Oryctolagus cuniculus: one gene and its partner. The protein of the gene in region 1 purifies or fractionates together with the protein of each later gene. This does not show direct contact. Links are inferred from orthologs where the notes say so. Each region holds a gene or a part of one and is shown on either strand. Other genes may lie near its edges.

What was found.
Region 2: the proteins of JUP (region 1) and DSG2 purify together in Homo sapiens (affinity purification with western blotting; 3 studies listed by BioGRID and IntAct, with this or other methods). This does not show direct contact. The link is inferred for Oryctolagus cuniculus from reciprocal best matches to the Homo sapiens genes JUP and DSG2.

Annotation. Positions count from the first base shown.
Region 1 is NC_091448.1:20,926,629-20,930,959, reverse strand, and holds the start of JUP (junction plakoglobin), read right to left. Parts: upstream 2,945-4,331; 5' UTR 2,787-2,944; exon of another isoform or gene 2,702-2,786; intron 1-2,701. UniProt on the Homo sapiens protein: Common junctional plaque protein. The membrane-associated plaques are architectural elements in an important strategic position to influence the arrangement and function of both the cytoskeleton and the cells within the tissue.
Region 2 is NC_091441.1:46,117,786-46,121,593, forward strand, and holds part of DSG2 (desmoglein-2), read right to left. Parts: intron 2,967-3,808; coding exon 2,631-2,966; intron 1-2,630.

The DNA of each region.
Region 1 (4,331 bases):
CCTGTCCCGCCCCTGGCCTTGGGGGAGCTGCCCCCTCCTCCAAGAACTAAGAACCCAAGTCAAGAGGGCGGGCAGCTAAGACGTGAGTCACCCCACCGGACAAACCTGCCTCCACCCACACACACCTCACTGGGCCTTCTGAATGCTCTTCTCGGTCAGGCAGAGGCTCTCCAAAGGGGACAGCAGAAAAAAATCATTCCAGAGCTGCGGGGTGAGCTCTGGGCTTGGAGCCCCAGGACCCAAGTGTAGGCGCTGGCTTCGTAGGGGTCTCACTGTGCGACCTTGGGCAAGTGCTTTAACCGCCCTGTTTCCATCTCCTCTGTGGATAGCAGACAACAACAGCTGCTTGGGAGGAGAGCCGGACAGATGAGGTGGGGACAGTCACGGAGGCTGTGTGCGGACCCCCCCAGGTCTCCCCTTGATCTTAGGTGAGCACCCATCAAGCCCTTGCTGGGGAGCTGGGAAGATTCTTCCCATTTTGCCAATGGAATACTGAGGCTCAAAGAGGTGAAGGGCTTTGACCACGCAACACAGAGCTGCGATGGAAATCAGTGCCTCTCCCCCGGCCCTTCTAGAAGCCCACCGGCCACCAGACCCAGCACACTCCAAGGCAACTGCTGCCCACGGGACCCACCCGTGGGCGTCCAGGAAAGGTGGCAGGCTGCTAGCCCTCGCCTGACCTACTGGGCTCCTACATGCTGCATTCTCCCAGCTCAGCCCTGGCAGCCCAAACAGAGGTTCCACAGGGAATGGGGAGGAGCTGGGGGGGGGGGGGGCTCCTGTCACCCAAGATGGGGTTTGGTCTGGCCAGAAATGACTAATCGGGTCCTACCTCCCCCCCACCCCGCCCCAGACTGCCCAGCCAGGAGCCAGTTTTCACCAGGCACCTCCTAGCAATACTTCCTTGCTATTATCTTTTCATCACAGCCACAAACCAGATTAGCTAAACTAATCATTTAGCCAACGTAATTACAATGCCTTCCCCTCCTCCACCTTAGCGCAGAGAGGAGGGAAAACAGGCAATTTGGGCCCCAACTCCATGGCTTCCTAGAGGTGCGCCGGCACACACCACACAGCAGAACAGGGCTTCGGTCCCCTCCTCAGGCTCCCTCACCCCAAGGAGCAGCCAGATTCTGCCCTGGACACACCAGGGAGGTGGGTCTGGCCTCCCCTCCCCCTCAGGAGGCTGGGCTCCAAATCCCCCAAAAAAGACCACACTTGAATTCTTAAAAACCAGGGAAGACAGCCTGGTAGAGATCCCATGCCGGGCAGGAGGAGCGCTCGGGAAATTGGGGGGGGCAGGTCGGGTGGGGCCCCAAGGCATGTGTGAGGGAGCCTAGCATTGAAGCAAAGCACCCCAGAAAGCCTTGCTCCCGCCTCCCCCTCCCCCACCAAACTCTCCCGGGAAAGGGGGTGGGGAGGCGAGGGTCTGCAGAAGCTCCAAAAACTGGGAAATCAAAGGGAGAGCCAGTCCGGGCCTCAGCTCCCGCCAGGGAAGTCGCACAGGACTCGGTAGAGGAGGGGAAACAGACAAGAATCACCACTCCCCCACCTTCCGCAGTTTGGCCCAGTCCTGCCCCACCCCCATTCCTGGGGAGGGGGCAGAGCTTGGGAGAGAGCCACCAGCGCAGGCCTCATCCGAGGGGGTGTGGTGGTCCCCGGAGGCAGGAAGAGAAGGAAGAAGCTGCTTCCCTTCTCAGCCCACCCCCCACCCCGGCCCCCACCTCGGGCCCCAGGGGCCCAGCAAACAGGATGGGGGTGGGGGCGGGGGAGGCAGGTCAGGGCGCAGGCACTGGGCCGGCGCGGGGAGGGCGCCCTGCCCCAAGGAAGCAGGAAAGCCCCCAGAGAAAGCAACCGCGAACACTTCCTCCAGGAAAGTTTGTTCGGGTGATTTTTCAACAGGAAGGTAGAGAAAGGTAGCTCCGTTCCCACATCGACACTGTGGGAGCCACAGCGACAGAGAGCCGGGCCAGGTGACCCCGAAGCCCTTACCTAGGCACAGACCCCTACCCGCAAGCCCCAGTCCGAGCCACAGGCGCCGGACACCCACTGAGCACTGACCAGGGCTCTGCCCCAGCCCCACGGCCACCCCATCCCACTTCCGCTGGAAGAGCCCCAACCCAGCGCGAACTGGAGCGGAGGGGGGCGCCGCAGGTACTGCGCCGACGGAGCTCCGCGAGCTGCCAGGCAGGGCCTGCGGCTCCGAGCGCTCACCTGCTGGGCAGGTGGGGCTCGCGTCTCTGGGAAAATGCCTGCTTGGCCCCCACAGTTGGGCAAGCCGGGCGCAGACAATAGGGCCCCACCCAGGCCTGGGGGAATAGGGAGGGAGTGAGGGAAGGCGAGGATGACGCGTGGGTGGGGTGAGGGTGGCCCCAAAGAGACCAGTGGCAGCAAGTTTACTAAACCGTAAATTCCCAATAGCAGAGTGAGCCCTAGGACGCGGGCGGAGCAGGTCAAAGTCTCCCCAGCCAGCCCAGGGCGAGTCAGGGACGCGGCATCGAGCTAGCTCCGCGGACTCCGGGGGAGGCGCGACCCTAGAGGCACCTGTCCCGGCCCCTCCCAGCCCTTCTCGGGTCTCGGGCTCATCGAGGCCCGAGGTGCGCTTGGCCCCCACCGCGCGTCCCCTGAGTCGCCGTGCCCAGGACCGCAGCGCGCCCCCTGCCGCCGGTGCAGGGTGGCGCTCCCTGGCACCGGCCCTCACCTGCCCGGAACGGCTGGGACTGGTCTCTCGACCGCTCGCCGCCCCTTTCCTCTCCCCAACGATACCTGGCCCCGATCGTCCGCACCTGCGTGTGGAGCCTGGCCGGGCTGGGTCGGGGTCGGGCCGGGGTGGAAGCCGGCGTGGGCAGCAAACTGAGCTCGGCGCGCTCGGGCGGCGGCTGCTCCGGACTCTGGCCAAGGCAGCAACTCAGTAACCGAACAAAAGGCGAAGGGACCTGACAGCCAAGCCACGCCTCTCGCCCCCTCGAAGCTCCACCCCCTAGGGAGACGCCCACCCGCTGCTGCGAGCTCACTGGTTGCGGCGCCTGACTGTCCCAGAGAGGGGCGGAGCCTCGCGCCCAGTCCTCTTCCACGGCCGCCTCTGTTTATCCGATCGCCATTGGCCCAAGGGACTGCCAGTTGGCTCTAGGGATGGGCCCCCACTTGAGGCACCATATTAACTCTGCACCTATTGGCGGATAGAAAGTTACTTCCTCCTGATTGGACGAGGGGCTGTCAGTAAGATTAAGGAAAGGACCAATGGAAGGGATGGGGTGTGTCTTGCCCCACCCTAGCTTTGAGCAGGTAAGACTCATTACTCTCCCCTTCCCCCTACCTGTCCAACAGGTGAGTCAGGGGGCGCCGTGGGAAAGGACAGACGCCTTCGCCGGCCAGCCCACTTAGCGTCAGGCATGATGTTTCTTTGGGCTTATTCATCCTTGCGCCAAGGTAGTAATCACATAGTTGTGTAGCATTTCATAGGCTTTGTGCTGGGTTGGGATTTTTCCCCCCCGCAGAGGATAGAGAGTTCCTGAAATTTAGGACTAGAAGGCCTGGGTTTGAGTTCTGCCATTTGTTGGTGGCAGGTCGCTTCACCTTTCACCTTGTCTGTCCTCATCTGTAAGATGGGCACATTCACGAGAGGGCCAAGAGCTGGATGAGGTAAGGCCCTTGGACAACTGCTAAGTGTCGGGATTTAAATCGATGATATGATTTTTAAAATGCTGCTGACAGTTCCGAAAAATTGCCAGGACAACCAAACAATCCTCATTTTAAAGATCGGAGAAATCACTAGGAAACGACTTGCCTTGAGCCGGAGCCCCTTTTCTCTGATTTCAAGTCCCACCGAACCTCGGTTTGCTCCTCCTGGAGGAGTGGGTACTGACATCAAAGCAGCGGGGAAGGACCAGGGACACGGCAAAGCAAACACTCTGGGGAGTGATGGAAGGGCGGTTATTTGGTCCAAGGACAGAGCATTGGCATAGGGAGCTTGGGCAGGTGTAGACAGAATCAGGCAGTGGCCGTAAAGGAAGAGGAGTTGGGGCATCAAGGGAGTGGGGCAGCAGGGCTCTCTGTGGTCCAAGAGCCTGGGTTGGATATCAGAAAGAACTTCCCATGGGCAGTGTAAGGTGACAAGGGTATACCCTTACAGTGCCTGAGGAAATGAGTGCTGCTCATGACGTACACTGTGCCAAGAGTCTCACAGATGTCCACTCGTTCAGTGCAAGTATTGAGCACCAATTGTATGCTGGGCACTGGCTTAGACCCTGGTGGAGAGCTCACAGAGACTCTGTGTCAAGTGTCTGTAGCTTGTGTGTCTTGGGGGAGTGGTCGCGTATAGAGAGTCCACC
Region 2 (3,808 bases), on another chromosome or scaffold:
AGCAGGATCAGAGCAGAAAGGGAAAAAGCATAAAAATGAAGCAAAAAGGGCACAAGACTGCAGCTTAGCACTGAGACAACGAAGGGACAAGAAGCGGTTTGCCTTGACACTGCCCACCATCCAGGTCAAGGGAACTTGCAGCTGGCAGAGAGGAGGGGATGAAACACAGCAGGGTGGAAAGGAGCAGTGTGGGAAAGCACTCCAGCAACTTGCAAATCTAGGCGAGGGGACAGAAATAGCTGCAGAAAGGCAGCCAGTACTGCTTAAAAAAAAAAAAAAAAAAAAACAACTGGGGCCACTCTGTGGCATAGCGGGTTGAGCTGGTCACTACAATGCCGGCCGGCATCCCACATGGGTGCTGGTTTGAGTCCCAGCTGCTTCACTTCCCATCCAGTTCCCTGCCAATTCACTTGGGAAACAGCAAAGATGGCCTAACTCCTTATGGTCCTGCCACCCATGTGGCCTGTCCCTGGCCTGTCCCTGGCTGTTGTGGCCATCTGGAGAGTGAAACAGTGGATGAAAGATCTTTCTCCCTCTCTGTAACTCTGCCTTTCAAATAAATAAATAAATCTTTAAAAAATTATTATAATGTCGGTAGGATCTGTAGCAGTGTTCTTTACCTTATTTCTGATATTGATAATGTGTTTACTTTCTTCATATACTAATTAAACTAGTTAAGTGCCTTACTAATTTTATTGATCTCTTTAAATAGTCCTTTTTGTTTAACTGCATCCCCCCCCTTTTGATATTTCATTGATTTCTGCTCTAAAATTCATTATTAAATTTTATCTGCTTGCTTTGGGTCTGATTTGTTTTTCTTTGTGTAACTTTGCTTAGGTCACTGATGCGAGACCCATCTTCTAGAATAAGCACTGTCATTTCTGCTATAAACGTTGCTTAAAGCTCTGCTTCAGCAATGACTCACAAATTTGGAAAATAAAACGCAGTTTAATCTTCAATGGTTTAAAATGTTTTCTAATTGGGGTTGGCACTGTGGTATAGAAGGTTAAGTCTCTGCCTGCAGTGCCAGTATCCCACATTGGATACTGTTCCAAGTCCTGGCTGCTCTGCTTTTGATCCAGCTCCTTGCTAATGCACCTGGGAAAGCAGCAGAGAATGGCCCAAGTGCTTGGGCCTGCATCCATGTGGGAAACCCAGAAGAAGCTCCTGGCTTCTAGCTTTGGCCTGGCCCAAAAGCCATATGGGGAGTGAATCAAGGATGGAAGATCTCTGTCTCTTCTTTTCTCTTTCCTTCTCTCTCTTTATAGTTTTTCCTTTCAAATACATAGAATAAATCTTTAAAAAAAATGTTTTCTAATTGCTTCTGTTATTTTCTCTTTTATCCACAGGTTATTTAAAAATGTATAATTTACAAATATTTGCAAAATATATTTTATGTGTTTCTTTGCTATTCATCTGTGGTTTAATTTCTTTTTGTCAAAGAACATTGCATGACTGTGGTTCTTTTCATCTTATTTAAGCTTATTTTATGTCCTAGTACATTGTCTATGCCACAAAGAAAGTGTACTCTGTTTTTGTTGCATAGAATTTTCAACCAATGCCAATTAGAATCAGTCAATATTGTTATATTTTCTGTATCCTTACTGATTTTCTGTCTACTCAATCTTTCAATTACTGACAAAAGAGGCTGAACTTTCCAAATACAATTACGCATTTGTCTATTTCTTAGTTCTATCAGTTGTTGCTTCAAGGTTTTGAATTTCTGTTATTATCCTGACATATTTAGGTATATCAGACCTTCTGATGAACTGACTCATTTTCCATTATAAAATAAGTATTTCAATAATTCCTGGTAGTAATCCCTGTTCTGAAATGTAGTTTGTCTCTAGGTAACGCTTTTATCTTTAGCCTTGATTCTAATTCCGAATTCCAGGCATGAGCTTCTGCCTGCATCTGATTATGTCTCCTGCAACTTTTCTCATCATTTTTTGTGTAAATATCCCATTAGTAGTGGAACTACTAATGTATCAAGTAATGTAGCAAGTCCCTGATACAGGAGGTGACATGTAAATGGACTGAATCGACTGTGTGTGTGGTTATACATTCTCTGCTCTTCCCTACTGGGCTCATCCCTAAAGAGCATACTCCTCAGGGGGATCGTGCGTTCTGACCCGCTGACATTTAACTTGGTCATATGACTTGCTTTGGCCAATGAAACACTGAGTGTGTAAAAGGCAGAGGCCTTAAGGGCCACTGCCCAGCCCTGTCATGGCTCTTCTCCTGGGATGACAGCAGCTTCCCGGGCACGGACGTAACCCTGCACTCTCAGCGTGCGCTTTGGAGCAGGGTGGGGCAGGGCTGAGCCAAGTGGCCAAAACACAAATGGAAGAGAGAAATGAGCCTTTGTGAGAGCTGAAACTGTGGGCTATTTGTTATCACAGAATAACGTAGCTAATACGGGCTCATTCAATGGGTTACATCTCTTTCTGTCCACTGCCTGTAAGCATACCCCCATCCCCCGCAAAACAAACAAACAAACAAACAAACAAAACAAAACCCAAAACCCAGAAAACCTCCAACATCCAATTTAGACACAAGGTAGTGATTACCCTACTGCATTCATATACGAATGCATTGCTTCCTCCCCAGCCGTAAAAACCAATGCTTACATCGGTGAAATAGCTTCGTAGGAATTCCTCGTTCAGCCCAGCTGCAGCCGCTCGTGCTCCAACCGCGTCCCTGGAAGCCCCCGTGGCTCTGACGGTCTTCATGGTTTCAGTGCCCAGCCCGGCTCCTGCCGGCCCCATCACCTGCGTGGCCCCGGCAGAGAGAAGGCTGCGGTGCTCATCCCACCTGGTGTCCACCTCAGACATCTCATGCTGCCCTTTGGTGAAGGAAGCAGAGCTGCTCCCTTTCATGGTGGCTTCCTTGGTGCTCATACTGCCTACTCCGTTTCTCGCTGCGAGGTTCTCCCCGTGGTCCACTGCCAGAAGCGACGGCACCACCTGTGAGAGCAAATACAGTCGAGAATTGTGTCAGAAGGTCACCATGGCTGCAAGAAGGGTCTGTGCTTTGTCCATACAGGCAAATTAGGAAAAAATATTTTGGGTTGCATAACTTCTGTTTTGGTCTAAGGAAAATCTTCCTTTTACCTTCCTGTTTTCATGGCTGATTATAAGCCAAGGAGAAACTAAAAGCCACACTTTCCTGTACAGTCTTAGCTTACTTGCAGTATTGGCAACAACTGCACTTCAACTTCCCTCCATGGTTTCATGCCTTCTCCCAGGACTACAGAGCACTTAATTTTGTCTGCCTCTGGAAACAAGGTCACCCAAGATAAAGACCGCATTTCCAAGCCTCTACTGTAGCTACTTGGTTAGGGACGGCCCCTTGGCCAACGTGAGTCACACAGAAATGGTGCATGCAGCTCCTGGGAAGTGTGCTGGGCAGTTCTTCATTTCTCTCCCATCCGAGGGCTGGAATGCAGGAAGAGTAGTGAGGTCTGGAACACGGGTGGGAACAGAACTCATTCAACGAAGAGCAACAAGACAGGAGCAGACTGAGGCATCGCTGTGGGGGAATCCTCGTGGTGAACCCGGACGGCCGCGTTTACGCTTACACCACTGTTATTCTGAGTTCTCTGACACCTGACACCTGACACCTGAGTTCTCTGATGCTCCTGGCAGATGGGGATGAGAACCAGGTGATGCAACAGAGAGACCAGGGGAGATGGCCATTAAGTAGTTAGCAATGCGATTTTGCAACATTTTACTGTTATTGCGGAGGGTGTAGAGTTACCCCTGCTGACCCCACCTTGCAGCAATGGAAATGGAGAAATGGAGGAGTT